Linked DNA regions of Anolis sagrei. The protein of the gene in region 4 purifies or fractionates together with the protein of the main gene of each other region. This does not show direct contact. Links are inferred from orthologs where the notes say so. Each region holds a gene or a part of one and is shown on either strand. Other genes may lie near its edges.

Evidence for each region. The genes of interacting proteins can lie anywhere in the genome.
Region 1: the proteins of CDC37 (region 4) and CHUK purify together in Homo sapiens (affinity purification with mass spectrometry; 7 studies listed by BioGRID and IntAct, with this or other methods). This does not show direct contact. The link is inferred for Anolis sagrei from reciprocal best matches to the Homo sapiens genes CDC37 and CHUK.
Region 2: the proteins of CDC37 (region 4) and ARAF purify together in Homo sapiens (affinity purification with mass spectrometry; 7 studies listed by BioGRID and IntAct, with this or other methods). This does not show direct contact. The link is inferred for Anolis sagrei from reciprocal best matches to the Homo sapiens genes CDC37 and ARAF.
Region 3: the proteins of CDC37 (region 4) and FER purify together in Homo sapiens (affinity purification with mass spectrometry; 3 studies listed by BioGRID and IntAct, with this or other methods). This does not show direct contact. The link is inferred for Anolis sagrei from reciprocal best matches to the Homo sapiens genes CDC37 and FER.

Annotation. Positions count from the first base shown.
Region 1 is NC_090023.1:141,576,840-141,584,834, reverse strand, and holds the start of CHUK (inhibitor of nuclear factor kappa-B kinase subunit alpha), read right to left. Parts: upstream 3,021-7,995; 5' UTR 2,943-3,020; coding exon 2,817-2,942; intron 1,920-2,816; coding exon 1,825-1,919; intron 1-1,824. Other genes in the region: ERICH6B (glutamate-rich protein 6B), read right to left, coding at 6,425-6,652.
Region 2 is NC_090022.1:192,681,019-192,688,210, reverse strand, and holds the start of ARAF (serine/threonine-protein kinase A-Raf), read right to left. Parts: upstream 3,021-7,192; 5' UTR 2,957-3,020; intron 1-2,956. UniProt on the Homo sapiens protein: Involved in the transduction of mitogenic signals from the cell membrane to the nucleus. May also regulate the TOR signaling cascade. Phosphorylates PFKFB2.
Region 3 is NC_090022.1:246,895,377-246,902,381, reverse strand, and holds the start of FER (tyrosine-protein kinase Fer), read left to right. Parts: upstream 1-3,985; 5' UTR 3,986-4,110; intron 4,111-7,005. UniProt on the Homo sapiens protein: Tyrosine-protein kinase that acts downstream of cell surface receptors for growth factors and plays a role in the regulation of the actin cytoskeleton, microtubule assembly, lamellipodia formation, cell adhesion, cell migration and chemotaxis.
Region 4 is NC_090022.1:161,784,113-161,792,060, reverse strand, and holds the start of CDC37 (hsp90 co-chaperone Cdc37), read right to left. Parts: upstream 3,008-7,948; 5' UTR 2,951-3,007; coding exon 2,849-2,950; intron 1-2,848. UniProt on the Homo sapiens protein: Co-chaperone that binds to numerous kinases and promotes their interaction with the Hsp90 complex, resulting in stabilization and promotion of their activity. Inhibits HSP90AA1 ATPase activity.

The DNA.
Region 1 (7,995 bases), on a different chromosome or scaffold from region 4:
TTCCTAACCATGGACTTGCACTTGGTTTTCTTCTACAGTTTACTGAAGTCAGCTTTCTTAAAGTCTAGAATGCATGTTAACCATGCTTCATTCCCCCTTTCTGCTGTATAACAAACTCTAGAAGAACATGGTTACTCCCACTTAAGGAATCCACTATCTCTATCCCATTTACCCTGTCATCACTGTTGGTTAGGATCAAATCTAAAATAACTGATTCCCTTGTTGCTTCTTCCACCTTTTGGACCATGACGCTGTCTGCAAGGCAAGTGAGAAACTTGTTGGACCTGATGTTCTTGGCAAAGTTTGTCTTCCAACCAAATTAGGATGGATACCTAATACTTCAGAGGACAAGATCAGAACGTTAGCATTTTTGAAAGGATGTCCATACTGGGAGAGATCAAGCTCGTTTTCAACTGCTCTAGAGACTACGGCATAGAGCAATGGATTGAAATTGGAGGGGAATTGAAATTCCACCTAAATATGGAGGAATTTCCTGATGGTTAGAATAGTTGAATATGCTGTCTCATCACATGATGGAGCCTCTGGCCTGTTGGTAAAGAGGACTGAGTGTCAGATATGTGGACCACAGATAAATGTGAAGATTTTCTGGAATGTTCTTGCCTAGAAAAGGCTCCCCTGAACAGAGGCATCAGGGATCACATTGTAAACATGTTAGATAATGGCATACACCAAAGAATTTCAGCATCTGCTTTCCAAATTATAGCAAAATTTCTGATTGTGTAGATCATGAAACACTATCAATCTGTAAGACTTGAATTCATAAAAGGGTGACTAGAGGTCACTCATGGGGCTGGCCGTGAACAACAGTATGTCAACAGCGTGACATGCATTTACATGACAAGGCATTCTTATAGTTGTGCCAAAAACAGTGCAAACAGTCTTCTGCCTTCGCCACATCCTCTCTGCAAATCATGCAGGCACAAGTGCACCTGTACAATGTGAATCCAAGGTGAGAGTGATGGTGTAAAGTGCACCCTTTACGTAACTATCACTTTTTTCACCCAATGTTTCTGTACCAGCCAATTCTTATGACAGAAGTTATGAGTTGAGTAATGGTTCTTAAAAGTATTTATGAACTTGTATATATTATATATACAAGTTATATATTATATATACCTCATATATTATTCCATTTCAGTACATACATGTATACTTTTTGAAGCAACAAATACGGAGATCTACTGTATACCTAAACAGACTTTTGTTTTCACCTCCAGCGATATTGGTTTTCTACTAACACAGAAAACAGTTTGATTAAAAACTTCAAGAAAAAAATAAAATGCACTTCATTGTGCTGGAAGCAATTTTAAAAACAGCTCTTACATTTCCCCTTTATTATATTTTAGTGTGTGTGTGTATATGTGTGCGTATAATATATATATATATATTTGGGGGGCAATGTTCTTGAAACATCTTAAGAAAATTTATTTTAAAATATGTATATTGTAATTTATTCAGATGGTGTATATAGAAGTAAGGTGTATATATAGAAGTATTTTTCAAAATTGTATAATATTGTTCCATTTTGGTTAACACATTTCTAAATGAAATCAAACTTGTACAATTGGTATCTGTCTAAATAGCCCCCCCCCCCCCACTTGTGCTGATTAGTTGATTCACTGAATTAATTCGATTTACCAATGCATCGGCTCATCATTCAACAACTGACTGAATGGCTGATAATGAGTCTCATTATCAGCATTATCACCACCACCATCAGCATGTAGTTGGGACTAATAAAAGGGCATGCCAGCCACATAGACATAAACAAAAATGTGTTGGAAAAACAAAGTGAGAACTTACTTCTTCATGATCTGGATTTCATGGCACCACCGATCTTTGTTTTTCACACTTAGTTCCAGACGACAAGACTTGATTGCTAACTTTGTACCTAAATCCTGTCTTGCAGAAGAAAGAATTAAAACAGATCACCACAAAAATCACTGCCTTTAACAGCCTCCCTGAACCACAAACCCCAGAATTCTGCAGGAGGCAGAAACTGGATTTAAAGTGGATTCGTTCTCTAGTGTGATGAAGTACTCACTCTCTGCCAGGGTGACATCCCTGTCCACGGCCTCATCAACCCAGAGAAGAAGCATTTACCGTCTTCTGCTTCCCCTTTGCCATCGCTGCACCGCCTTCCCTTAGAATCATAGAGTTGGAAGAGACCTCATGGGCCATCCAGTCCAACCCCCTGCCAAGAAGCAGGAAAACTGCATTCAAAGCACCCCCAACAGATGGCCATCCAGCCTCTGTTTAAAAGCTTCCAAAGGAGGTCTCCACCACACTGCGGGGCAGAGAGTTCCACTGGTGAACAGCTCTCACAGTCAGGAAGTTCTTCCTAGTGCTCAGGTGGAATTTCCTTTCTTGTAGTTTGAAGCCATTGTTCCGCATCCTAGTCTCGCTTGCTCCCTCCTCCCTATGACTTCCTCTCACACCTTTATACATGGCTATAATGTCTCCTCTCGGCCTTCAGGCTAGACATGCTCAGCTCTTTCAGCCGCTCCTCATAGGGCTTGTTCTCCAGACCCTTAATCATTTTAGTCGCCCTATTCTCAACATATTCCAGCTTGTCAACATCTCCCTTCAATTGTGGTGCCCAGAAGAGAGATATTGTCAAGCTGGAATGTGTCCTTTCTTTCCTTTTTCCTCCCTCCTTCCCCACCAAACCCAGCACTCATGGCACAAGCCAGGAGCAGGGCCCTCAAGTCAGTCAAAGGCTGAGGAGCCCCGTCCTCCAATGACCACAACCCAAGGGCGAAACCCCCGCCAAGTTTGCGACCCCGGCGACCCACCCGGTGCTGGTAGAGGGAGACGTTGCCGAAGCCGCCGGTGCCGAGCCGCTCCCGCACCTCCCAGGGCTCGCAGGCCGCCATTCCCGGAGGGCCCCCGCGCCCCGGCCCCGCCGGCAGACCCTCCATCCGCCCCCCCGCCCGCCTGCCTGGGCCAGCCGCGGATCCCCAGGGCAGCCAGCCAGCCAGCTCTCGCGAGACCTGGGACGGGAGCGGAAGTGGCCTCAGGGTGTGGGCTCTTCCCCTTCCGGGAGATGCGCGCAGAGAGAGGGAGAGAAGGTAGACAGCCCTTGCGCAATCGGTATTGAGTTTCTTGATTCTGGAAGGCAGGTGGGAATGGCTGGAGAATATACAAGCAACCCTTAAGACAGGAACAAGATAGGCCGGAAGCATTAGGTTGCTGCGAGTTTTCCAGGCTGTCTGGCCATGTTCCAGCAGCACTGTCTCCTGACTCTTCGCCCACATCTGTAGCAGGCATCCTGTGAGGTCTGTGTATTGTCGAAGGCTTTCATGTCTAGAGTCACTGGGTTGTTGTAGGTTATTTCGAGCTATATAGCTATGTTCTAGAAGCACTCTCTCCTGACGTTTCGCCTGCATCTATGGCAAGCATCCTCAGAGGTTACGACCTCACAACCTCTGAGGATGCTTGCCATAGATGCAAGCGAAACGTCAGGAGAGAATGCTTCAAGAACATGGCCATATAGCCCGAAATAACCTACGACAACCCAGTTGTGAGGTCTGTTGGAAACTAGGCAAGTGAGCTTTATATATCTGAGGAACAGGGGCGGCTCAACCCATCACGCAAAGTAAGCATTTGCAGTATAGTTGATTTTGCCCAGGGGCACTCTTGAGGCGCTCTTGGGGAAAATAGACCTTGACAAATGCAAGTTACTGGGATGTATAGTTCACCTAAAATTAAAGAGCATTCTGAACTCCACCAATGATGGAATTGAACCATATATGGCACACAGAACTCCCATGACGAACAGAAAATATATATCAATGATTGGTTGGTGGGGGGGGGGGGCACCAAAATACTGTTTGCTTACCGTTGAAAATTACCTAGGGCCGCCTCTGCTGAGGAATGTCCAGGGTGGGAGAAAGAACACTTGTTGTTTTTTTGAAGCAAGTGTGACTGTTGCAATTGGATACCTTGATTAGCAAATAATAATAATAATAATAATAATTTTATTCTTATATCCCGCCACCATCTCCCCAAAGGGATTCTAGGTGGCTTCCATGGGGACCAGGCCCAGCAAAAACAGAAGTTAAGATATAGCACAATTAAAATACATTGAATTTCAATAATTAAATTTTGTTTGTGTTTTTAAATACATTACAACTGTACCCTCGGTTCACTTCTGATATGATAAATAAATGTAAATAATTAAAACAATGAAACCTAACAACAAACATCATGAAAACATAAGAACATCAATAACCATCAAGCAGTAGCTGAGAAGAATGGGCGTGTTCAGATCTAGGAGGGCACTAGCAAGGGCTAATGCAACAGAGCTGTAGGGGCGAGTAATAAAGTGCTACAAAGCCGGACAATAAGTTAGAGCTAGAGGGGCCTAGTCAATAGATGAACCGGTTAGTCAAAGGCACATTGCAACATCAAAGTTTTCGGGTATTTTCGGAAGGTGGACAGGGTGGGTGTTACTCTAATCTCCCTGGGGGAAAAGTTCTGGGGGGGGGGGGGCACCAGCTTGAGAATAAAGTCCACCTAGGAAAAATATAAAAATATTCTTACCATACATCAAGGGAACCACTGACTGCATAGGGAAATTAATGAAGAAACATAACTTCCAATCAATCTATAGGCCCTTCCAAGAAAATCCAACAAAAGCTATGTTCAGTAAAGGACAAAAGGGATCCTCTCACCTCTGCAGGAGTCTACCGGATACCATGCAGCTGTGGACATGTCTACAGAGGGACCACCAAATGCAGCATTGCCCAAACACGAATCAAGGAACATGAAAGGCACTGCAGACTACTTCAGTAAGAGAAATCAATCATAGCAGAACACATGATAAACCAAGCTGGGCACAGAATATTATGTGAAAACACAGAAATGTTGGACCACTCTGACAACCACCATAATCAGACTATACAGAGAAGCCATTGAAATCCACAAGTATGTGGACAATTTCAACTGAAAGGAGAAAAACATAAAAATGAACAAAATCTGGCTACTGGTATTCCTAAATACCAGAATCAAGTCAGCAAATAAAGAACAACACTCAGAAACGGGAATTTCAGCCAGCCAACAATCAAGTGCCAGTTAACACCTCCCAAACAAAGAATGCTCCCAGGCAACAATAGCCAGGCTTTTCAGCTGCAAGGCTACCCAATTGCTAATCAAGATTACAGCTGCAAGGCGTTTCGATGCTAATCAAGGTGGACAATTGCAACATTCATACTTGGCTCAAACGACAAGAGTTCTTTCTCCCACCCTGGACATTACACAGATATATGTACACCCCACATGCCTCATTTCCACAGACCTTTGAGCAAACCTTTGGAGAATGCCTGCCACAGATGCAGGTGAAAAATCAGGAGAGAATACTACTAGAACAAATACGCAGATAATCATATACATGAACGTTATTAGGTGCCAACTTTTTTATAGTGTGCTACCGATCTTGTATTCCACCTTGGGGGGAAAGAACAAGGAAAGAAGAGGGGCCCATAGATTTTAAAAAGCATTTTAGCATCCAGTCTCTCTCACACAATAAATAAATACAATAAATCAGTTAAACAATTCAGCATATATTTTTATACCTCTCTACATGCATCCACCACCCATGGGACATATATTCATACTGAATACTCTCCAAATGTATTCTCCCCTACGAACCATCAAGACCACTAAGATCATCTGGAGGGGCCCTGCTCTCAGTCCCTCCACCTTCACAGGCACGGCTGGTGGGGACGAGGGACAGGGCCTTCTCGATGGTGGCCCCTCGACTCTGGAACTCCCTGCCATTAGAGATCAGAACTGCCCCCTCCCTCATGACGTTTAGGAAACTAACAAAGACCTGGTTGTGGAACGCGGCATTTGACAACTGATTTAATTCTTTGCCCACATGAAAGGAGGATGATGAATGGTATTGTGATGGTGTCGGATGATTTGGCTCTTTTAACTGTGATGATAATGTTTTAACATGTATAGTGCTGATATTTTAACCGTGTAATGAAGTGGCATTGTGTTGTTATTGTATATTCTTTGTATGTTAACACATGTTGTGAACCGGTCCGAATCCCTCTTTGAAGGTGAGAGGGTCGGTATATAAAACCTCGAAATAAATAATAAATAAATAAATGAATATTAATTATTCTGATATGAGCATGCATTAAAGATTTCCTCTGACCCACTTCTATTTATCACAGGATGCTGAAACTGCACATGTGTAATGATATCAGTCTCTATAGGTTACGTGCCAATTTACAACTCGGAACTGAGAAAAATCTTGATTTGACAGGTGCTGAAATGATGTGAGGTTTGATAATGGACCCAGTGGAATACAGAGCAGTCATCAAGTTTGTTTACTTGAAAGGCTGCACACCAAAGGAGACTTTTTCTTTTCTTTATTCAACAGATTTGTGCCTCATTTTTTTTGTTTAAATCTAACCGTCTTTTTATGTCGCTGGTGGGCTAGGCCACGCAGTTCTGTTACGACTTGACACAGGTCATCAATTTCTTCAGGTGGAACAGTGTGCAGTGTTTTCAGTATTTTCTGGCAGTTTGTTAAGAGCTCTCTGATCTTCAGAATCTTGCTTCGTTCTCTCACAGTTTCACGATGTTTAAGTAATGGAAGCATGTTTGGATCTTTCAACTGCAAAAGTCACAGACAAGTGTTAATGTTTCATCATTATTTTAACCAAGTTAATCATTTTCACTAAAATTTTCACATATAGAAATTCTGCTTCATATATTATATATTAACAATCTGGAAACACTCCTGGATTGATATATGAGCTCAGATATTATAATAATGAAATGCAGAATCCAGAACTGTGGCCAGAGATAGATGCAATTTGGTACATACTGATGAAAAGCTGAAGGAATGTTCATTATACATGTGTATTTTTCCTTCAAAGATATAGAAATATGTGTGTGAGTGATCAGAGTCCCCAAATGTAGTTTATGTTTTTCTTCATAGACTACTAGCTTTTCCTGCCACGCGTTGCTGTGGCCAGCCTTCTCTCCCTCTTTCTCTGCTTCTTTCACTCCTTCCTTCATTCCGTTTTCTTCTTTCCTTTCTTCCTTCTCTACCTGGTTACTTCCTTCCTTAGCTGTTTGCTTTCATCCTTCCTTCTCCTTATTTCTTTTCTTCCCTGCGTCTTTCTCTCCTTCTTTCTCTTTTTCCTTTGCTGCGTCTTTCCTCGCTTCCCTTTTTTCTTTCCTTCTCTCCTCCTTCCTTCTGTACCTCTTTCCTTCCTCCTCCCTTTTTTCCTTCCTCTTTGTCTCCTTTCTTCTTTCTCTTTCCTTCCTTCCTTCGCTCTGTAGTTCCATACTTCCTTTTCTTTCTTTCTTTCCTTCCCTCCCTTTCTCTTCTTCATTTGCTTTCTTTCCTCCCTTGCCTTTTCTTCCGTCCTTTCTTCCTTCGTTCCTACACCTTCCCTTCCGCTCCTTTCTTCTTCCTTCCTTCCTTTCTCCCTTGTTTCCCATGCTCCTACTCTCTCTTTCTTCTTTCTTTCCTACCTTTCTTCCCTCCCCTTGGAGAAGATGGCGGCGGTGGAGATGGATGGGGAGGAGGGATGGATTGGGTCAGGGCGGGAAGGGACAGGGCAGGGATTGGAGGGGCGTAGTTTCCTGGGAAGGGGCGTGACCGGCGGAGGAGGAGGGGGAGGAGGGAAGGATGACGTATGGGCGGGTAGGGCCGGGGCAGCGGAGGGTGGGGACGTGGCTGTCTCGGTGGGGGCGTGGGCAGGGGAGGAGGAGGGGGAGGAGGGAAGGATGGCGTATGGGCGGGTAGGGGCGGGGCGGCAGAGGGTGGGGACGTGGCTGTCTCGGAGGGGGCGGGGGAGGAGGAGGGGGAGGAGAGAAGGATGGCGTATGGGCGGGTAGGGGCGGGGTGGCGGAGGGTGGGGACATGGCTGTCTCAGAGGGGGCAGGGGAGGGGGAGGAGGGAAGGATGGTGTATGGGCGTGTAGGGACGGGGCGGCGGAGGGTGGG
Region 2 (7,192 bases), about 31 Mb from region 4:
TTTTAATTATTCTATTGTTTTAAAGTGTTTTTTGCACTACAAATAAGATATGTGCAGTGTGCATAGGAATTCATTTATTTTTCCAAATTATAATCTGGCCCTCCAACAGTTTGAGGGACTGTGACCTGGCCCCCTGTTTAAAAAGTTTGAGGACCCCTGGGTTAAACCCTTGTGTTGTTGAACTGCTGACCTGAAGGTTGCCAGTTCAAATCCGCAATTCGGGGTGAGCTCCCTTCTGTCAGCTCCAGTTCCTGCTAACCTAGCAGTTCGAAAACATGCAAATGTGAGAATTGGCAGGAAAAGTCAAAGAGATGCTTCAAAAAAATTTCCTTGTCTTGAAAATAGAGAAAGCACCTCCTCAGTGCCAGAGATAAGCAGTGGCTCCAGAAGCCGGAAATGAAAGAAGCCTCTGCCTGTTTGTGTGTCTCACTGTATATGACTGTAAAGGCATTGAATGTTTGCCTATATATGCTGTAATCTGCTCTGAGTTCCCTAGGGTGGAATATAAATTAAGTATATTTAAAAATGTATTACAGCTCCTGTGATTCCACAGCACTTTTTTTTTTGTGTCAGGAGCGACTTGAGAAACTGCAAGTTGCTTCTGGTGTGAGAGAATTGGTCGTCTGCAAGGACATTGCCCAGGGGACACCAGATTGTTTTGATGTTTTGTCATCCTTTGTGGGAAGCCGGAGCTGACAGAGGGAGCTCATCTGCGCTCTTCCCGGATTTAAACCTGCAACCTGTCGGTCTTCAGTCCTGCCGGCACAAGGGTTTAACCCATTGCGCCACCGGGGACTCCATTCCATAGCACTGAGCCAACGCAGTTCAAGTGGTGCCAAACTGCATGAATTCTACAGTGTAGACGGAGCCAATGAGGACTTATGGGTGCCTAAATGAAATAAGTGCTGGCCTCTATCAGGGAGAGCATTCCACATTTGGGGTGCCACGACTCAGAAGACCCCATCCCATATCTGAACACTGCATATTAATCTTATTTATGGGACACTGAGAAGCTATTTGGGACTTTACAAGTCATCGCGACCACTTTGAATCCAGATTGGAAATTTGTATTTTGGCAGCCAGTGCTATTTGTTTAAGATTGGCATGACGTGCTGTCGATATGGCCTTCTAGTCAGCAATCAAGTTCCTACACTCTGCAGTTTCTGAGTGTACTTCAAGGGCAGCCCCACACAGAGCCCATTGCAGTAGTCTGCTCAAATATTATTCATTTTTATTGTAAACGGCCTTGTAATCCCATGATATAAGGCAAAGGTAAAGGTTTTCCCCTGACATTAAGTCCAGTCGTGTCTGTCTCAGGGGGTTGGTGCTCATCTCTATTTCTAATCTGAAAAGCCGACGTTGTCCTTAGACACCTCCAAGGTCATGTGGCCGGCATGACTGTATAGCGCGCCATTACCTTCTCACGGGAGCAGTACCTATTGATTTAGTCACACTTGCATGTTTTCGAACTGCTCAGTTGGCAGAAGCTGGAGCTGACAGGTGGGAGCCCACCCCACTCCTTGGATTCGAACCTGCGACCTTTCAATCTGCAAGTTCAACAGCTCAGTGATTTAACCCACTGCGCCACTGGGGGGCTCCTTGATCTAAGGTACACTGTAAATATTTATTTATTATTTATTTATTGAAGCATTTTATTATTTACTAGCCGCCCCCTGCCACGTACTGCTGTGGCCCACTCTGTGTATATGTGTTGTGTGTGTGTGTATGTGTATATATATTTGTGTAGATGTGTGTTTGCGTATATATATATATGTTGTTATGCACATGCATTGTATTGTATATTTTGTTTTTTGGCTGTGTTTTTCAATGTTTTTATGAGTGATGGTCACTTGTTGGCCTCAAATGTGTATTGTGTCCAAATTTGGTGTCAAATCATCCAGTGGTTTTTGAGTTATGTTAATCCTATGAATGAAGATTACAATTTTATTTATATAGTGTATCTTGATATAAGGTAATAGCATTCATCAATTAATAAATAAGACACAAATAAATGTATCTATAGAGTGACTAAGAATGATCAACAGAGACTGATCTAAAGACATAAGGATGCTTCTTCAGGTGTAAAATTAATGCAGTTTGATCCCACTTTAACTGCCACACCCCCATGCTATGGAATCCTGGGATTTGTAGCTTGTGAAGGCCCCAGAGCTCTTTAACAGGGAGACCTTGTAAAACTACAATGCCCAGGATGCCATTGCCTTGAGCCTGGGCAGTTCAAGTGATATCAAACTGCATTAATTCTACGTGTGACCAAAGCAGCCCCCTATCATCCTTCACTATAGGACAAGTTGGCTGGGGCTGATGGGAACTGCAGTCCGGCAATCCCTGAGCATCTACACTACAGATTTAACGCAGTTTGGCCTCCCTTGGAACTATCAGGACTGGGTGATGCAGAACACTGGGAGTTGTAGTTTGACAGAGAAGTGTCCAATATTGCAATAAAACTATAACTCCCACTGCATTCAGCAGTGAAAGCGGTGTCACACTGGATTCATTCTACAGTGTAGATGCAACCTTCCAGGGAGATGAAGCCCAATACAGCTGGAGAGACAAAGGTTGGGGATGATGGGAGGTGCAGTCTATGCCTTTGCCTGGGGATAGGGGTCTCAATTCGGGAAGGAGGAGGAGGAAGAGGAGGAGAAGTCCACGCCTCTCCCCTCCTGCAACTTAAACCAGAGCCGCGGGCGAAATCCGGGCCAGTCTGACCGCATTCCCAGTCCGGAATGACGTCTGGAAGCGACTCTAAACGCCCCCCCCCCCCTTTAAAAAGAAGGTGTGGGTTCCCAAGCCCGAAAAGCGCATTGAAGTGGCTGAGGAGCCGGGCAGGAAGATACCAAGAGAGCAGGAAAATAGGGGGGTCAGTCCGGGAAGGGGAGGAGGGGCCGAACGAGACCATCGGAATGTGGGAAAAGCCAAGGAAAGGGAGACTTCCTACCTCTCGCCCAGAGACAGCCACCATCTTGTGCGAGCGTTCGAAAGGGGGCGGGGCGCCGGGCGTTGACGTCACAATAAGGGGGCGGGGCGCTTTTAGGGGAGAGGAAGGGATTAACCCTTTAATTCCCAAACACAATTATTCAGCTCTCATTTACAAAGAATCAACTGGACATTCAAATGGAGTCCCTTTCAGCTCAATGTTGGGGCCACGAAAAAAATTGGCAACAGTCAAAGGTTTCTGAACGCCACCCATTTACACAGATCTGTTAGCAACAACCTGGAATGCATGCAGTTTTGCAAAAAACTTTAAGCTCCACTTCACTTGCAAATATATTATGGTTACTGCAATCCCTGGTGTCCACTTTTGGGGATTGGATTGGAATGCCTATATTGAGTTTTTCCAGTCTGCAATCCATTATTTTCCTTTCCCTATTTGCTGATAGATTTTAGTCAGGACTAGATTAGATCTCTCCCTGTATCAGTTGCCAAACAAATATGTAAACATCCTGCGGCTCCTCCATGATACATGATGGCAACAGTCTTGGGCAGCAATGGCTCCCAAAGTGACCCATTTAAGGTGGAATTGATGCAGAGCATCTACCCCCCCCCCCAAGTATTTGTAGTTCGCCAAGGGCCGGACAATGGATTCTGCTGCTTCCTGACCCAGCACACATAACTGGGTTCCTGTTTCCCTTCTGTGAATTCTCTGGCTTGTGCACTGGACCCTGGCCCCTGATCAGGGAAATGTAGTTCTCCAAAGGACATTGCCCCACTCTCCACCATTTGCGGATTCCTTGCGGACCTTTCTGCCCTCACTGATTGACTTGATGCCCTATCATCATGAACTTCCTCCACGGACTCAAAAGCCAAGCCGCTTGGGAAGCATGGCCCCCGCCCGTGGGTGCATGCCCTTGTTGCAAAGGATCATACCTCAGGAACTCTGCTGATTGCCTTTATTAATTGCTGTGGGTTTTCTAATAAACTTTACTGGGATGGGGATCTTTTCTATGAAATCTATGAGTTATGAAAGACTGTGAAGAATATATATATGAAGTATATGATATGTAATGAGATGAAATGAAATGAGATGTACCCTCACCCCTTTCCTTGCCTTCCCCCTCTTGAACTTTACCCTATAAAAGAATATGTGACCTGGGGATTACAGTTAAGGAAATCCAATTTCCTTGGAAGAAACTCCATCCATATTGACAATGCATGGACAAATACTGGCAAATCTATGGCTTTGTTCTCAGAGTCAGACAAACAAAAGCCAGAGATTTTGTCAGCCAAAAGCCCGGAAAAACCGACTGATTAAATCAATCATGGTGTTTGTGTATGCTCCCTTGTGTCAAAGGATCTCCTTTGCCTACAGGGTTGAGATCCAGACACCATCCATAGCCACCCTTTTTGCTCATACACATCTTTTATCAAGACCCAGGAAATCCCTTGTTCTCCCCATCCGCCTCCCTGCCGTGAAGAGACAAAAGGTGTTCCATCAGCTGGCAGACGCCTCCCAGGCGTTCCGCCCCTCTGCGCTATCAGACTGAAAGCCCGCCTCCTGGCCGCTGATTGGACAATCTCCGGAGGCGCTCCGAGGGCTCTGATTGGCCCTCTGGAGGCGACAGCGGCCGGCGATTGGAGGGAAGGCGGGACCAGCGGCCAAGCCTCCTCCCAGCTGTTCCGGAGCCGGCCAACCAGGACAGAGGGGACTGACAGGAGGCGGGCGGGAGATTCAAACCAGGATTTCTTTGTTCTGCCTGTATAAATATGCCTGAAATTCACTGTACTGTATGCCTTATGGAGGATTCATCCCTGTAACGCATCCTTTTCAGCTGAATCGCAAAATAAACGCCTCGGTCGTAGACTCCTCTTCAGCCTCTGGCGAGATTGATCTTCAGTAACTTTGCGTCTTCTTGAATTGGCATCCGCTGGCCGCTCGCCAAGGTCAAAGACCCCCTTTGCGGTCTTCTGGGGCCTTCCTCGCTGGGAAAGCCCCCCAAAAGGAGCTCGATATCATTTGGCTTTACCACGAAGGGACTGCTGCTTGAGGTTCCAGACTAAATTATAGCCTAAATTCTCAAGCAGGCGCCTTGGTCTGATTCTTTGGGCCAGCAGCAAAGGAGGAACGGCTTGGGAAAAGAGGCGCCTCTCCCAATTCGGACTTTCATTTGACCAGCTAACCAAAACTACAAATTCTCCCGCAGCCACTTCCTCCCAAGCTCTGACCTAGGGTTTCAGCACAAAGGAGCGCCAGGGAAGCCTTGATCTAAGGACTTCCAGGAAGAGGAACGACCGACGCGGAAAGGGGGGAAGAAAACGTCCGGACGGGTAAGAAATCAACCGCGGGCTGCCTTGGCTGCCAGGTGGGAGGGGATTCTAGGTTTTCTGAACCAGCTTCGGAGTCGGCCCACTGGGGAGGGATTCTCTAGGTCTCGGTAACAAATTCCTGGCGGGGGGTAGCGAACATCCACGTTTGAGGCCTGGAATAGCAACTCAGCTCGCTTTTGCGGACTTGGCTGGAGCTACGCTGGAAAGGGAGCCCTCCCCTTTCGGACTGCCTAGCTGCCAAGGGCTGATCGCCCCGGGCTCTTCTGCTAGGGAACCGTTCGGGCTCTAGCCTGCCTTGCGGTTGGGGGGGCTACCCTGATTAACCACTTCAGTGTGGGGCTACCAGGAGAGATTGGGCGCATGTTATTCCAGGGTCAAACGTCCTGCTTCATCAGAAACATCTTTTGGAAGATACTGGCGGAATGGGGCAGGGTTGCGTCGCCGACGCAGGCCAGTAGGGTAAAAATCGCATGGAGAGGTGGCCCTCCAGGCCCTCAGCAGGTGGAGTTTCGTGGCCCCTCATGGCAGTCGGATCGCTGTGAGGGGGCCAAGAGGACCGAAACCGCCTCTGCCTCATGCTTTTTGCCATGTGCCGGAGGGAGGTGGAAGGGGGGGGGGTAGTTGTGGCCAACTCCTACCATGCAAGGGGAAGGTAACAAAGCCCCAACCCCCCCAGGAAACCCCCTCCAGACCCCTTCACCCTCTCCCTTTGGAAGAAATTGCTTGTTCCCCTACCATCCCATTCCCATTTCCCTTTACCCAATCTCCCTGACTCCTTCCTTCCCTTCCCAACCCCTCCATTTCCCTATTCCCTATTTATGATGCATTTATATGCCCCTCTGTTTGTTTGTTTTTTTTTTCTTCACTGCTCCTTGAGGAAATGATCAGGGAAATTCTTTGCTCTCCTCCTCTCCTGCTTCCTCCTGTGCCACCTTTTTTCCTTCCTTCAGATGGAAAAGGGAGGCATCGCTCATTCCCTCCTTCACCAAGCTACTACATCCCTTTCTTTCAAAAGCTGAATCTTCAGTGCCTGTTTATTTATAATAAACAGTGTTTCCCCTCACCAGGAGAGACCCTGCCACTGATGTGACTCAGCTGCCTTGCAAAAGTCTCTCTCTCTCGCCTGGTTTCCCTGAACCAAGAGCTCTCTCCCTCTCCCCTTCTCTTCTGTGCAACTACAAAACCCATCTTTCAGGGGCAGTCACCAATGTCCCTGCCTTTCCTTTGTTTTTCCCTTCACTCTCCAACTCCCCCTTTTTGCTTTCAAACCCCTCCTCCCTCTCTCCTCTTGCAAACAAAGGGAGGTGTAGGGGGGGGGGGACCTTTTTCCTGCTCCTGTTTCCCTTTGCCAAGTAAAGTTTGCTGGGTTTCTCTCTCTCTCTCTCTCTCTTCTCCCTCCCCTCCCATCTTCTAAGAAGCCAGCATTCTGTGAATTTTTTTTTCCTCTATCCCCCAGAGAAATCCTGCTGCTCCCTCTTACCTCCTTCTCCAAAAACCTAAGGAAGGGATGTTCCAGAAGCATTCCCTCCTGACATTTCACCCACATCTATGGTTAAGTCTCTCTCTCTCACACACGCAGTCCCTCGGATGCTTTTTTCCTTCCTGGCCCTTCCTCCCTCCCCTTTCCCTGAGCGCATGTATGTGTATGTCTAAATTATCCCATTAACTGCCTTAAATATGAGGGGGGGCGTCGAGGTCCAGGGGTCCCCTCTGCACAGTGAAGAGGCCCAGATCGAACTGTGGGACCCATAATCCACTCCTGCCGCTGAGGACAACTACCTGGGTGAGGTGAACAATGGGAGGTCTGTGGACTTTCCTGTGTGGAACCCAGATGGCACAGGAGGATCCCACAGAGAGCAGGACCAGACCCCATGCCGCCCAGAAGAGACAGCCCCTCCTAGAGGCTGAT
Region 3 (7,005 bases), about 85 Mb from region 4:
TGTTGTCAGTTGGTTACAATCATTTTGCATTGTCTAAAATAATCACTCCACATGCCTACGTCATCACCAACCCAATAGAACCCAATAGGGAGGCATGAGATATGGAAGAAGGACAGCAGCTTGAGGTGAGGCATGGGAAGGAGAAGAAGGGGACATGGTAAATTTTATTACACCCAAGTCTACCAAAATCATAGAACTTTTCGGACACTCAGTTGTGCCACTTCTGCCTCACAGGCAGCAAGGATGGACAGAAAGGAGGTCAAGTATTCCCTGACACAACTAATGTATGTTCATCTCTTGTCTCTCAGTAAATTGTTGCATTCTCTGCTTTAACCACATTTTTTACATCACTCCTTACCAACATTTGTGAGCATTATTTTCCCTAGTCTTAGATTTGTGGACCTGGGGGTGGCTTTAGTTAACAATAACAAAATAAAATCCTGATAGGTTAGAAAGTTTTGAACCATAATTCCAAAAAACCATTGCACAGTCTGGACACACACTTCAAAGCAAAATGATTACCATATTTACTCAAATCTTAATATCTTAAAAGGTCGGTGGTTCAAATCCGGGAATTGGGGTGAGCTCCTATCTGTCAGTTCCAGCTTCTCATGTGGGGACATGAGGGAAGCCTCCCACAGGATGGTAAAACATCTGGGCGTTCCCTGAGCAAGGCCCTTGCAGACGGTCAATTCTTGGAATGTATCCCCTTTAAGAAAGCAGTGTAAGTATGCCTGTGTATTGAAAATGATCCAAACATCCAGCTAAATACATATTATTTAGAACCCTTTTAAAAGGGTTCTAAATAAAAGATTAAGCTTCATATCAAATACCTGAATGCTGCAACCTTGTGTGCTCCTGATTATAAATGCAGCTAAGTTATTCCTTATATCAGAGCTTTCCAAATGGGTCCAAGTATAAAAATCACAGGTAAACAATGCTTTTTAAAATCTGGTCCTCATTCTTCTCCCACTCTAACTTCTCCAGCAGCAAGAAGTGTACACTGAGGCCCTTTTCACTCAGCTGAATAAAATCCCACATTTTCAGCTTTGAACTGGAATATATGGCATATAAATGGACTCGGATAGCACAGTTCAAAGGAGATATTCTGGATTATATGGCTGTGTGGAAGGGCCCTGAAATTATTGCTCCCGATGTCTCTGTTTAATGATGGAGAGGCTGTGGCAACAGAGGTACCTTAAAGTATTTTTGGCTAGATTAGATACCCGAATGAAATTCTGAAAGGAGGTTGTGTAGGTATATGCTAATGGAACCAATAAAAAAACAAGTGGTATAGTGCTTTATTTCTATTATCTACGTTTCAGGGTGAAAATGCAAACTTGCACCAAAAGGAAGCAATATTCTTTTAGAGAAGAGCTTTCTAAACTCTGGGCCCTTCCATACAGCCATATAACCCAGAATATCAAGGCTGAAGATCCCATGTTATTTGAGTGTGGACTCAGATAACCCAGTTCAAAGCAGATATTCTGGTCTATAGGGTTATGTGGAAGGGCCCTCTGTGTCACGATATGTTTATGTTGGCTGCAGCCTGTAGGTTGTGTGTCACATGAGCGAAACGAGAAAGATTTGCATCTATGTGAAATAAGCAAAAAAAAAAAAAACCCAAACCCCCCATATATATATGTGTGTGTGTGTGTGTGTGTGTGTGAGAGAGAGAGAGAGAGAGAGAGAGCTTTTTATGAAATATGTTGTATCTCTTAGGCCCCTTCCACACAGCTGAATAAAATCCCACATTATCTGCTTTGAACTGGAATATATGGCAGTGTGGACTCAGATAAACCAGTTCCAGGCAGATATTGTGGGACTTTCTGCCTTGAAATTTTGGGATATAGGGCTGTGTGGAAGGGCCCTGAGTCCACACTGCCATATAGTCCAGTTCAAAGCAGATAATGTGGAATTTTATTCAGCTGTGTAGAAGGGGCCTAAAAGTGTGTCAGCAACATGTAAGTAATCTTTGGAAAGCTCTGCCTTATATACTTGTAGGGCTGCATCAGGCCCGTAGCCAGGATTTTGATTCGGGGGGGGGGGGGGGGCTGAGTTTGATTCGGGGAGGGGGGGCTGAGTCTGAGTGAAAGAGGGTCTACCCTAGCAAACCTTTTGTATCATTACCCCAATACCCCCATGCATATGGGATATGTATTGTCGAAGGCTTTCATGGCTGGAATCACTAAGTTCTTGTGGGTTATTTCGGGCTATATGGCCATGTTCTAGAGGCATTTCTCCTGACGTTTCACCTGCATCTATGGCAAGCATCCTCAGAGGTGAGGTCTGTTGGAACTGGGAAAAAGAGTTTATATATCTGTGGAATGACCAGAGTGAGACAAAGGACTTTTTTCAGTTGGGCTAGGTGTGAATATTTCAACTGACCAACTTGATTAGCATACAATGGGCTGTGTCTGGAGCAAACTCTTCTTGAAAGGTAATTAGATGTCCCTCCCTGTTTCCTCTCTGCTGTTTTTGCTGTTGCAATTTTAGAATTTTTTAATACTGGTAGCCAGATTTTGTTCATTTTCATTGTTTCTTTCTTTCTGTTGAAATTGTCCACATGCTTGTGGATTTCAATGGCTTCTCTGTGTAGTCTGACATGGTGGTTGTGAGAGTGGTCCAGCATTTTTGTGTTCTCAAATAAAATGCTGTGTCCAGGTTGGTTCATCAGGTGCTCTGCTATGGCTGACTTCTCTGGTTGAAGTAGTCTGCAGTGCCTTTCATGTTCCTTGATTCATGTTTGGGCGCTGCGTTTGGTGGTCCCTATGTAGACTTGTCCACAGCTGCATGGAATACGGTAGACTCCTGCAGAAGCGAGAGGATCCCTCTTGTCCTTTGCTGAACGTAGCATTTGTTGGATTTTCTTGGTGGGTCTGTAGATTGTTTGTATGTTGTGTTTTCTCATCAGCTTCCCTATGCGGTCAGTGGACAATTGGAGCCCCCGATAGGGCAGTAGGTTAAACCCCTGTGCCGGCAGGACTGAAGACCGACAGGTCGCAGGTTCGAATCCGGGGAGAGGCGGATGAGCTCCCTCTATCAGTTCCAGCTCCTCATGTGGGGACATGAGAGAAACCTCCCACAAGGATGACAAAAACATCAAATCATCAGGGCATCCCCTGGGCAACGTCCTTGCGGATGGCCAATTCTCTCACACCAGGAGCGACTTGCAGTTTCTCAAGTTGCTCCTGACACGACAAAAAAAAAAAGTGGACAATTTCAACAGAAAGGAGGAAACCATGAAAATGAACAAAATCTGGCAAACAGTATTTAGAAAACCTCTCAAATTCCAACAGCAAAACAACAGAGAGGAAACAATCAGGGACAGCTAATCACCTCTCAACAAAAGATTCCCCTAAGCACTAACAAGCCACACCAAAAAACTGCCAGGCCGTCAAATGCTAATCAAGGTGGTCAGTTGAAAAATCCATAGCTAGCTCCAACAGACAAGAGTTCTTTGTCCCACCCTGGTCATTCCAGATATAAAAACCCAAATTTCCTAGTTCCAACAGACCTCACAACCTCTGAGGATGCTTGCCATAGATGCAGGCGAAACGTCAGGAGAGAATGCCTCTAGAACATGGCCATATAGCCCGAAAAAACCCACAAGAACCCAATATATTATTGACTTGATAGTAATGGATAAAATAACTGTATTCTGTTTTTAATGAGCGTGTCTCTTTAAAAATCGAGAGGGGTCCAGTTCCTACGTCACGTCCGGCGCCAGGCAGCCTTAAACCCAAGCCGGAGTCTCCAAGTCTTCCCCCGCTTCCCTTTCCCGGCTGGGATGCAAACCCAACTCGGCCTCCTCAATGAAAGGAAGTCTACGCCCTCCCCATTCCCTTGCGGGAGACAAACAGCCAATCACCGCCTGGGTCAGCCGACGAAGGGCGGGAACGACGCCTGTCTCCTCCTCAACGATTGGCGAGCCGAGAAGTTGACGCGCATCGGGGGCGGGGCCAACGCGGATTGGCCGCTGCTGGCGAGAGAGTCCCGGTGCCGATTGGCCGCACGATAAAAGGGGAGCGCGAGCGGATAGGCCGCGGCGGCCTCACGTGACCTAGGCGGGGCCGGGCGTATTGTGGTGGAGGGGCTCGAGCTTGTCAGGTAGGTGGGCACCGCCTTTGGGGCTTTTGAGGGTGGCAACTTGGGACCTCCGGCCGGGCGAGGGGCCTTCCGGTGGCTGGAGAGGGACTGGGGCTTCTTTGGGGTCTTCGACTGTGTAGGCCCCGGGGTAGGGCGGCGTTCGAAGGCGAGAGAGAGAGTGAGGGAGGAAGGAAGCGAAGGTTTTGTTCCTCTCAGGCTGGGAAGGCTTTGCTTCAACTCCTGTGTGGGAAAGTGACGAGGCTGGGAAGGACTGGGGTTGAGGAAGGCGTGCCTAAGTTTAGGGTGCGTCTACGCCAGGCATGGGCAAACTGCGGCCTTCCAGGAGTTTTGGACTTCAACTCCCACCATTCCGAACAGCCTCAGGCCCTTTCCTTCCCCCCCTCAGCCGCTTTATTTATTTATTTATTTACTTCATTTGTATACCGCTCTCTCAGCCCGTAGGTGACTCAGAGCGGTTTACAACCAAATCAGTATACAAAGTGCACAACATTAGCATTTAAAACAGTAATCATGGCAACTACATCAATATAACAATACATCAATACATCAGTATAATATTAATACATCCATATAACTAATCCATCACGTCTCATCAGTAAAGTCATAATCCGACCTCCTTGTCCATTATTCCATGTTCCAATAATCAATTAATTGCACTGCTTAATTAAACGCCTGTTCAAAGAGCCAGGTCTTCACTCTTCTCCTGAATGCCAGTAGGGAGGGGGCCAATCTAGTGTCTACGGGAAGGGCGTTCCACAGCCTAGGGGCCACCACTGAGAAGGCCCTGTCTCTCGTCCCCGCCAGCCGTGCTTGTGAGGCTGGCGGGATCGAGAGCAGGGCCTCCCCAGACGATCTTAATGTCCTAACTGGTTCATAGGGGGTGATGCGTTCGGACAGATAGGTCGGGCCAGAACCGTTTAGGGCTTTAAAGGCTAAAGCCAGCACTTTGAATTGTGCCCGGTAGCAGATTGGCAGCCAGTGAAGCTGGCGCAACAGAGGAGTGGTGTGCTCCCTGAGTGCCGCTCCTGTTAACAGCCTGGCTGCCGATCGTTGGACCATTTGTAGCTTCCGAGCAGTCTTCAGAGGCAACCTCACGTAGAGAGCGTTGCAGTAGTCTATACGGGATGTAACCAGTGCGTGGACTACCGTGGCCAAGTCAGATTTCCCAAATTACGGGTGCAGCTGGCGCACAAGTTTTAATTGTGCGAATGCTCCCCTGGTCACCGCCGAAACCTGGGGTTCCAGGCTCAGTGATGAGTCCAAGATCACACCCAAGCTGCTGAGGGGGGAAAGGAAGGGGCCTGAGGCTGTTCGGAATGGTGGGAGTTGAAGTCCAAAACTCCTGGAAGGCCACAATTTGCATTTGCCTGCTGTAACCCAAACCTAGTATTGGTGGCCTGACACACACTCTGCTGCTACTATTCGTCCAAGCTTAGAACAGTGTTTCTAAACCTTCCTAATGCCACGACCCCTGAATAGAGTTCTTCATGTTGTGTTGGCCCCCAACCATAACATTATGTCCATTGTTACTTCACAATTGTAATTTTGGTACTGTTATGAATAGTCAATATTTGATACACAAGACGACTAAAATGATCAAGGGTCTGGAGAACAAGCCATATGAGGAGCGGCTTAAGGAGCTGGGCATGTTTAGCCTGAAGAAGAGAAGGCTGAGAGGAGACATGCTTTTTTAATGTTTAACTGCAACCCAGCTTTTGCACTTTCTTCTTTCACCTTGATTAGAAGGCTCTTCAGCTCCTCCTTGCTTTCAGCCATCAAAGTGGTATCATCTGCATACCTAAGGTTGTTAACTGTTTCTTCCAACAATTTTTACATGATAGCCATGTACAAATATGTGAGAGGAAGCCACAGGGAGGAGGGAGTAAGCTTGTTTTCTGCTTCCCTGGAGACTAGGACGCGAAACAATGGCTTCAAACTACAAGAAAGGAGATTCCATCTAAACATTAGGAAGAACTCCCTGACTGTGAGAGCCATTCAGCAGTGGAACTCTCTGCCCTGGAGTCTGTGGAAGCTTTTAAACAGAGGCTGGATGGCCATCTGTCACGGGTGCTTTGAATGCAATATTCCTGCTTCTTGGCAGGGGGTTGGACTGGATGGCCCATGAGGTCTCTTCCAACTCTATGATTCTATGATTCTACGTATTTTCATTCACTGGACCAAATTCGGCACAAATACCCAATACGCTCAAATTTGGGCAAAAGTATGGTAGCTGGGACCCAATGCCGAGACAGCGCAGCGAGTGAGAGATGCAGATGCGACAGAGTCGTGGCAAGGTAGTTCGCCAGAAAAAAGGAGGGGGGGCAACAAACAGCCAAGCATAGTGCTTAAGAGCCGTCGCAAACTCTGTTCCTGTGGGAGCAAACCTTGCTAGCACGTCCCTGACGTCATCAGCCTGCACCTCTCTCCCCGCCCCTTTCTCCGCCCCTTTCTCTTTGCCAGTGTGGTTTTTCCTTTGCTAGGGCAGCATTGCCCGCATTTTCTCTCAGTTGAATTCTGCCAACTGAGAGAGTATGCTGGCAATGCTGCCCTAGCAAAGGAAAAACCACTCTCGCAAGGAGAAAGAGGCGGAGAAAGGGGCGGGGCGAGAGGCGGAGTCTCATGACGTCAGGGACGTGCTAGCAAGGTTTGCTCCCGCAGGAACAGAGTTTGCGACGGGTCTTAGAGCCGTAGCAAACTACTGGAAGAGAGAGCGAGCTTGTGCTCGAGCTCGCTCCGAAGCCCCGCCTTTTCCCCCCCGAGCTGCTCTCTCTCTTGCTAGTGTGCCTGTTTTCCCTTGCTAGGGAAGCGATGCGAGTGTACTCTGGCAGTTGGCAGAATTCAACTGTGAGCGTACGCTCGCATCCCTGCCCTCTGCAATGGAAAACAGGCACGCTA
Region 4 (7,948 bases):
TTGGACTGGATGGTATTTTCTGTTGGTCATGGGGGTTCTGTGTGGAAAGTTTGCCCCGATTCCATCGTTGGTGGGGTTCAGAATGCTCCTTGATTGTAGGTGAACTATAAATCCTAGTAACTACAACTCCCAATTGCCAAAGTCTATTTTCCACAAACTTTATCTGTGTTCATATTTGGGCATATGGAACATTTGTGCCAAGCTTGGTCCAGATCCATCATTGTTTGAGTCCACAGTGCTCCCTGGATGTAGGTGAACTACAACTCCCAAACTCAAGGTCAATGCCCACCAAACCCTTCTAGTGTTTTCTGTTCGTCATGGGAGTCCTGTGTGCTAGGTTTGGCCCAATTCCATCATTGGTGGAGTTCAAAATGCTATTTGATTGTAGGTGACCTATAAATCCCAGCAACTACAACTCCCAAATGACAAAATCAATTTTTTTTTTAGTGATGATCAGTTCTTGGGTTAGTAGGCGTCTTGTGGCCAAATTTGGCGGCAATTTGTCCAGTGGTTTTTGAGTTATGTTAATCCCACAAACGAACATAACATTTTTATTTATATAGATTTTGCACTGTTTATTTCATCTTGTTATTTTATGCATTTTGTTATGATGTAATTTTTCTGTTGTTTTGTATTTTATTTTGCTGTATTGTATTTTTGGGCTTGGCCTCATGTTAGCCGCCCCGTGTCCCCTTTGGGGAGATGGTGCCGGGGTACAAATAAAGATTATTATTATTATTACTAGTCATCACCTGCCATGTGTTGCTGTGGTCCAGCCTAGTGATTTAGAAAATAAAGTAACGAGAAAGTGCTGGTTTCTAATATATCTGTAATGTCTTTATGCTTGTGGGTAAACAGTATTTCTTGTTGTTTCTTTGTCAGTGTTGATGTAGCGATTGTCTGGTTTGCCTACGTTGGAACATATAATTGTCCTTCTTTAGGGCTCCCTTTCAAATCTATGGCACTATATCTGTCATATACATATATCTGTGTCTGTGTGAATCATACATAACTATCTATATCTATGGCTGGATGTCTCTTTGTCAGGAGGGCTTTGGTTATGTTTTCTTGCCCCGGTGAAGGGAGGTGGACTGGATGGCCTTAATGCAGCATTTCTTATTCTGGGGGTCGGGATGCCGGAGGGAGGTCATGAGGGGGTGTCGCAAGGGTCATCAGAGTTGCTGTTGTGGTTCTGTGTGGAAGGTTTTGTCCAATTCTATCGTTGGTGGGGTTCAGAATGCTCTTTGATTGTAGGTGAACTATAAATCCTGACAACCCTATATGATTCCGGCCCAGCGTATCTGTCCGAACGCATCTCCATTTACGTACCATCTCGGAGTTTGAGATCCTCTGGGGAGGCCCTGCTCTCGACCCCGCCTCTTTCACAAGTGAGATTGGCGGGGACGAGGAGCAGGGCCTTCTCAGTGGTGGCCCCTCACCTATGGAATTCACTCCCCGGGGAGATCAGATCAGCAACATCCCTCCTTTCATTCAGAAAGAAATTAAAGACGTGGATGTGGGACCAGGCGTTTGGGCAATCTGGCAGATGAATAAGGGACTGTGACGATAGATAGGAACTGGACAAGGTAGAGCGAAACATGAATTCTGAGTTGGCGAACGCTGTGTCTGAGATTGGCTATTGATTGTGTGATATATTGTTGTTTTTAATTGTTTTAATTGTTGACCATTTAATTGCTGGTTTTATATATTATTGTATTTGTGTAGGCACCAAGATGTGCCTTTTGTAAGCCGCCCTGAGTCCCCCCTCGGGGGTGAGAAGGGCGGGGTATAAGTACACGAAATAAATAAATAAATAAATAAACAACTCCAAATTGCCAAGGTCTATTTCCCCCAAACTCCATCTGTGTTCATACTTGTGGATATGCAGTACTTGTGCCAAATTTTGTCAAGATCCTTCATTTTTGAGTCCACAGTGCTCTTTGGATGTAGGTAAACTAACTATAACTCCAAAACACAAGGTTAGTGCCCGCCCAACCCTTCCAGTATTTTCTGTTCGTCATGGGAGTTCCATGTATAAATATGTGAGAGGAAGCCACAGGGAGGAGGGAGCAAGCTTGTTTTCTGCTTCCCTGGAGACTAGGACGCGGAACAATGGCTTCAAACTACAAGAGAGGAGATTCCATCTGAACATTAGGAAGAACTTCCTGACTGTGAGAGCCGTTCAGCAGTGGAACTCTCTGCCCCGGAGTGTGGTGGAGGCTCCTTCTTTGGAAGCTTTTAAACAGAGGCTGGATGGCCATCTGTCAGGGGTGCTTTGAATGCAATATTCCTGCTTCTTGGCAGGGGGTTGGACTGGATGGCCCATGAGGTCTCTTCCAACTCTTTGATTCTATGATTCTGTGTGCCAAGTTTGGTTCAATTCCATCGTTGATGGAGTTCAGAATGCTCTTTGATTGTAGTTGAGCTATAAATCCCAGCAACTACAACTCCCAAATGGCTAAATCATAACTTTTTGAGTGATGGTCACTCCTTGTGTTGTGAGACATTTTGTTGCCAAATTTGGTGTGATTTCGTTCATTGGTTCTTTTGTTTTTATGGAGTATTTATATAGATAGATAGATAGATAGATAGATTAAAAACAACCACACCCAAGTATGTTCATGAGGGTGGAGTAATGGGCCATGCAGGCCTCCTCAAAGGGCGGCCCTCCAGATCTCTGGGCCTCTAACTTCTACAGGCCCTCGCCAGTTTGTTCAATGGCCAGGAATCCTGGGAGCTGGAGGCCTAAGCAAGGAGAGGGCCGCAGCCTGAGCAGGCCTAGCCCAGAGAGTTCTCTGCGGGGCTCCGAAAGCGAGGCCCTTTCTCTCGCGGGGCGCCTTTCCCTCACCTGGTGTCGCCATCGGAAGAGGCTGGGCGTGTCGATATTGGGGTGAGTCTCGTCCTCATCGTCGGACACCTCGATGTGATCCCACACGCTGTAATCCACCATGGCGCTGCGGCTAGTGCGGCCCCTCCTCGGACTTCCGCTATGCCTCGTGCGTCATTTCCGCCAAACTTAGCGCCGCCGCCCCTTTCTTCCCTCCTGCTCGTCTCTGTGACGCTCACTGGGAAACAACAGAGCTACGATAAAATAGAGTGATGCGCCGCCTTGACTTCTGGGACCCACTCTGTGGAATTTTCCCTTTGCTAGGTTCTTGTAGGTTTTTTCGGGTTTTTTCCTTCCAGTAAATATAGAGATCTATATAAATAAAAATGTAATTTTGGGGGAGGGGGGTTCTAATTGAATGTGAATGTTTTTTAAGGTTTTGTGGGTTTTTTCGGGCTATATGATCATGTTCTAGAGGCATTTCTCCTGACGTTTCGCCTGCATCTATGGCAAGCATACTCAGAGGTAGTGAGGTCTATTGGAAATAGGAAAATGGGTTTATATATCTGTGGAATGGCTGGGGTGGGGCAAAGAGCTCTTCTCTGCTGGAGCTAGGTGTGAATGTTTCAGCTGACCACCTTCATTAGCATTTGAAGGCCTGGCTGAGCCTGGGAAAATTCCCCTGTTGAGAGGTGTTTCCTCTTTGCTGTTTTGCTGTTGTAATTTTAGAGTTTTTTAATACTGGTAGCCAGATTTTGTTCATTTTCATGGTCTCTTCCTTTCAGTTGAAATTGTCCACATGCTTGTGGATTTCAATGGCTTCTCTGTGTAGTCTGACATGGTGGTTGTTGGAGTGGTCCAGCATTTCCGTGCTCGCAAATAAAATGCTGTGTCCAGGCTGGTTCATCAGGTGCTCTGCTATGGCTGATTTCTCTGGTTGAAGGAGTCTGCAGTGCCTTTCATGTTCCTTGATGCGTGTCTGGGCAATGCTGCGTTTGGTGGTCCCTATGTAGACTTGTCCACAGCTGCATGGTATACGGTAGACTCCTGCAGAGGAGAGAGGATCCCTCTTGTTCTTTGCTGAACGTAGCATTTGTTGGATTTTCTTGGTGGGTTTGTAGATTGTTTGTATGTTGTGTTTCCTCATCAGCTTCCCTGTGCGGTCAGTGGTTCCCTTGATGTATGGCAGGAACACTTTTCCTCTGGGTGGATCTTCATCTTTACTCTCGTGGCTTGTTCTTGGTCTTGCAGCTCTTCTGATGTCTGAGGTGGAGTATCCATTGGCCTGGAGAGCCCAGTTGAGGTGGTTCAGTTCATCTTGGAGGAGGTGGGGTTCACAGATTCTCAGAACAGACCTCACTACCTCTAAGGATGCTTGCCATAGATTCAGGCGAAACGTCAGGAGAAATGCCTCTAGAACATGGCCCTATAGCCCGAAAAAACCTACAAGAACCTAGTGATTCCAGCCATGAAAGCCTTCGACAATACATTTCCCTTTGCTCTTTTGGCTGGATCTATATGCATGCAATTTATATAGCAGTGTAGCTCCAGTCTACAGTAGAAATAATGCAGCTCGACCCCACTTTAAACTGTCATGGCTCATAGCATCTAGTCCAGACCGTTAATTTTAAAATCTATAGAAATAAAAATGTAATGTTCGTTTGTGGGATTAACAGAACTCAAAAACGAACGAATTGACAACAAATTTGGACACAAAACACCTAATAACCCAATGTATGTCCTTCACTAAAAAAAATGATTTTGTCATTTGGGAGTTGTAGTTGCTGGGATTTATAGTTCACCTACAATAAAGAGCTTTCTGAACTTCACTAATGATGGAATTGAACCAAATTTAGCACACAGGGCTCCCATGACCAACAGAAAATACTGGAAGGGTTTGGTGGGCAGTGTCCTTTGTTTTTATAGTTGTAGTTCACCTACATCCAGAGATCACTGTGGACTCAAACAATGATGGATCTGGACCAAACTACACGAATACTCAATATGCCCAAATGTGAACACTGGTGGAGTTTGGGGAAAATAGAATCTTGACAATTGGGAGTTGTAGTTCCTGGATTTATAGTTCACCTACAATCAAAGAGCATCCTGAACCCCACCAATGACAGATTTGGGGCAAACTTCCCACACAGAACCCCCATGACCGACAGAAAATACTTAAGGCCATCCAGTCCAACTCCCTTCACCAGGGCAAGAAAACGTAATCAAAGCCCTCCTGATAAAGAGCCATCCAGTCATATAGATAGATATATATAATTCACACACAGTGAGCGATATAATATCATAGATTTGAAAGGGACCCCTAAAGAAGGACAATGATATGTCGCATGTTCCAGAGTAGGCAAACCAGACAATCTCCACATCAACATTGACATAGAAAAAACAAGGAATACTGTTTCTTTCTTCTTCTTTACCTCTTTCTTTCATTCTTTTCTTTGCTGTTTGGTTCCTGACCTCATGATCATGGGGAAAAAAGCAAAGTATGGATCATCAGTGTTGTAATCCCAGGCAACAGCAGAATTGATGAGAAGCAACTGGAAAAGCTGACATGGTATGAGGATTTAAAGATCAAACTGCAAAACTGGTACAAGCCAGTAAAGGTGGTCCCAGTGGTGATCAGCACTCTGAATGCAGTGGTTCCAGGATCCACTGTGGATACCAAAATCTACGCATCCTTACATCCATTGCATAGTAAAATGGAATCCCTTCGACAAAATTTAAGTTTTGCATTTTGGATCTTTTTATATATATTGAAGATGTGGATGGTAGAATCCATGGATGCAGAATTTGTAGATGGGGGGTTGACTGTATTATTATAATGTTTTCTCACCTCAGCAGCATAGGATTCTGTCAAGAAATTACCTATCAGGCCATCCTGCCCTTTAGAGGATGAATATCACTCCCCTGTTGGTTTAGGGCAGAGCTTTCCAACCATTTCATGCTGGCAAAACAGTTTTTAGACATGTATCATTGAGCGACACATTAATTCAGTTTTAAGAATAAACCAGACGTTAAACTGGCCTCTTATAAGACACACAGATATTTACACACATTGCAATAATACCAATATGTATGGGGACACAACATAACTCAGGAAAATCTTTCTTTTTCGAAGGCTTTCATGGCCGGAATCACTGGGTTGATTATATGCAAATCAAGGTGGTCAGTTGAAACATTCACACCTAGCTCCAGCAGACAAAAGTCTGCTGGAGCTAGGTAAATCTATCTACCAAACTATCTATCTCTATCTAATCCATTTATCTGGAGAAATGCTGGGAGTTGCAGTCCAGGAAAAGAAAATTGGAAATATGCAGGCAGAGTCGGCCCTAGGTCATTTTCAATGGTAAGCAAACAGTATTTTGCCCCCCCCCCCCCCCTCCCCAACCAATCACTGATATATACTTTCTGTTCATCCTGGGAGTTCTGTGTGCAATATGGCAATATGGTTCAATTCCATCATTGGTGGAGTTCAGAATGCTCTTTGATTGTAGGTGGACTATACATCCCAGTAACTACAACTCGCAAACGTCAAGGTCTATTTTCCCCCAAGAGCGCCTCAAGAGCGCCCCTTGGCAAAATCAACTATATTGCAAATGCTTACTTTGCGTAATGGGTTGAGCCGCCCCTGTATGCAGGAAATCTAAGGAGAAGAAAACTTGCATCTTGGAAGCAGTTCATTTGGATTGTCCTCCTCTCCTAAAGGGCCTGGTATAGGGGATGCTGGGATCTGTAGTCCGGAAGAGAGTGTGGATATGCTATTGTGTGTTTTGTTTGCCGGGGTAGATGTTTTTGCACATGCACTGTAGTATCTTTTGGGGGGGGGGGTTGACTTTTTAAATCCCTCCCACTGTGTTTTTCAGTGTTCTTGTGAGTGATGGTTACTCGCTGGCCTGATAGGTGTATTGTGTCCAAATTTGGTGTTAATTCATCCAGTGGTTTTTGAATTATGTTAATCCCACAAACAAACATTACATTTTTATTTATATAGATTTGTTACCCATGCAGTTCCAGATGCACAAGCTAGACAACCGCAATGGCCAAAGATAAAAGACTGAAATATAAGGACTTGTTGTTTCTGTAAGGAACAGGGTTGTCCCAAGTCATTAGCTGTCAGGGGAAGAGGAGGAAATTCCTGTCTACCTCCCACACCAAAGCAAGCCGTGTTATTTTGGCATCTGAAGCAGAAAATGTCCCTGTTGAAAACACTCTACAAGTAAACTAAACAGTTGTTTTCAGGACACTCCAAATCAGCTGTTTGAAGTTAATGCCACATATTCCCTTCATGGGAAGGCTCCACTATTAAAGACTAATGAACTCCAGGGTTACCATATATAGTAATCATGTGGGATTTTTCTTCATGGTAGAGACTACATTAGTAATACAAAATGGATTGTAAACTTAATGGAACAAAATTACATTATATCAACAATTACAATTACTTCTACTAATAATAATAAACACTGCTACACTAGTCTTACTCCATTGTCACAGGAGAATTGCAATGCCTATGAAATATATTTCTAACTAGCCGTCCCCTGCCACGCATTGCTGTGGCCCAGTCTGGTGATCTGGAAAATAAAGTAATGAGACAGTGTTGGTTTCTAATATATGTAATTTCTTTCTGCTTGTGGGTAAACAGTATTTCTTGTTTCTTTGTCAGTGTTGATATGGAGATGGTATGGTTTGCCTACTCTGGAACATGCAACATGCAAATTGTTCTTCTTTGGGGGTCCCTTTCAAATCTATGATACTATATCTCTGTGTGAATGATATATATCTATCTATATCTATGGTTGGATGGCTCTTTGTCAGGAGGGATTTGATTACGTATTCTTGCCCTGGTGAAGGGTGTTGGACTGGATGGCCTTAAGTATTTTCTGATGGTCATGGGGGTTCTGTGTGGGAAGTTTGCCCCAAATCTGTTGTTAGTGGAGTTCAGAATGCTCTTTGATTGTAGGTGAACTATAAATCCCAGCAAGTACAACTCCCAAATGTCAAGGTCTATCTTCCCCAAACTCCATCAGTGTTCACATTTGGGCATATTGAGTACTCGTGCCAAATTTGGTCCTGATCCATCATTGTTTGAGTCCACAGTGCTCTCTG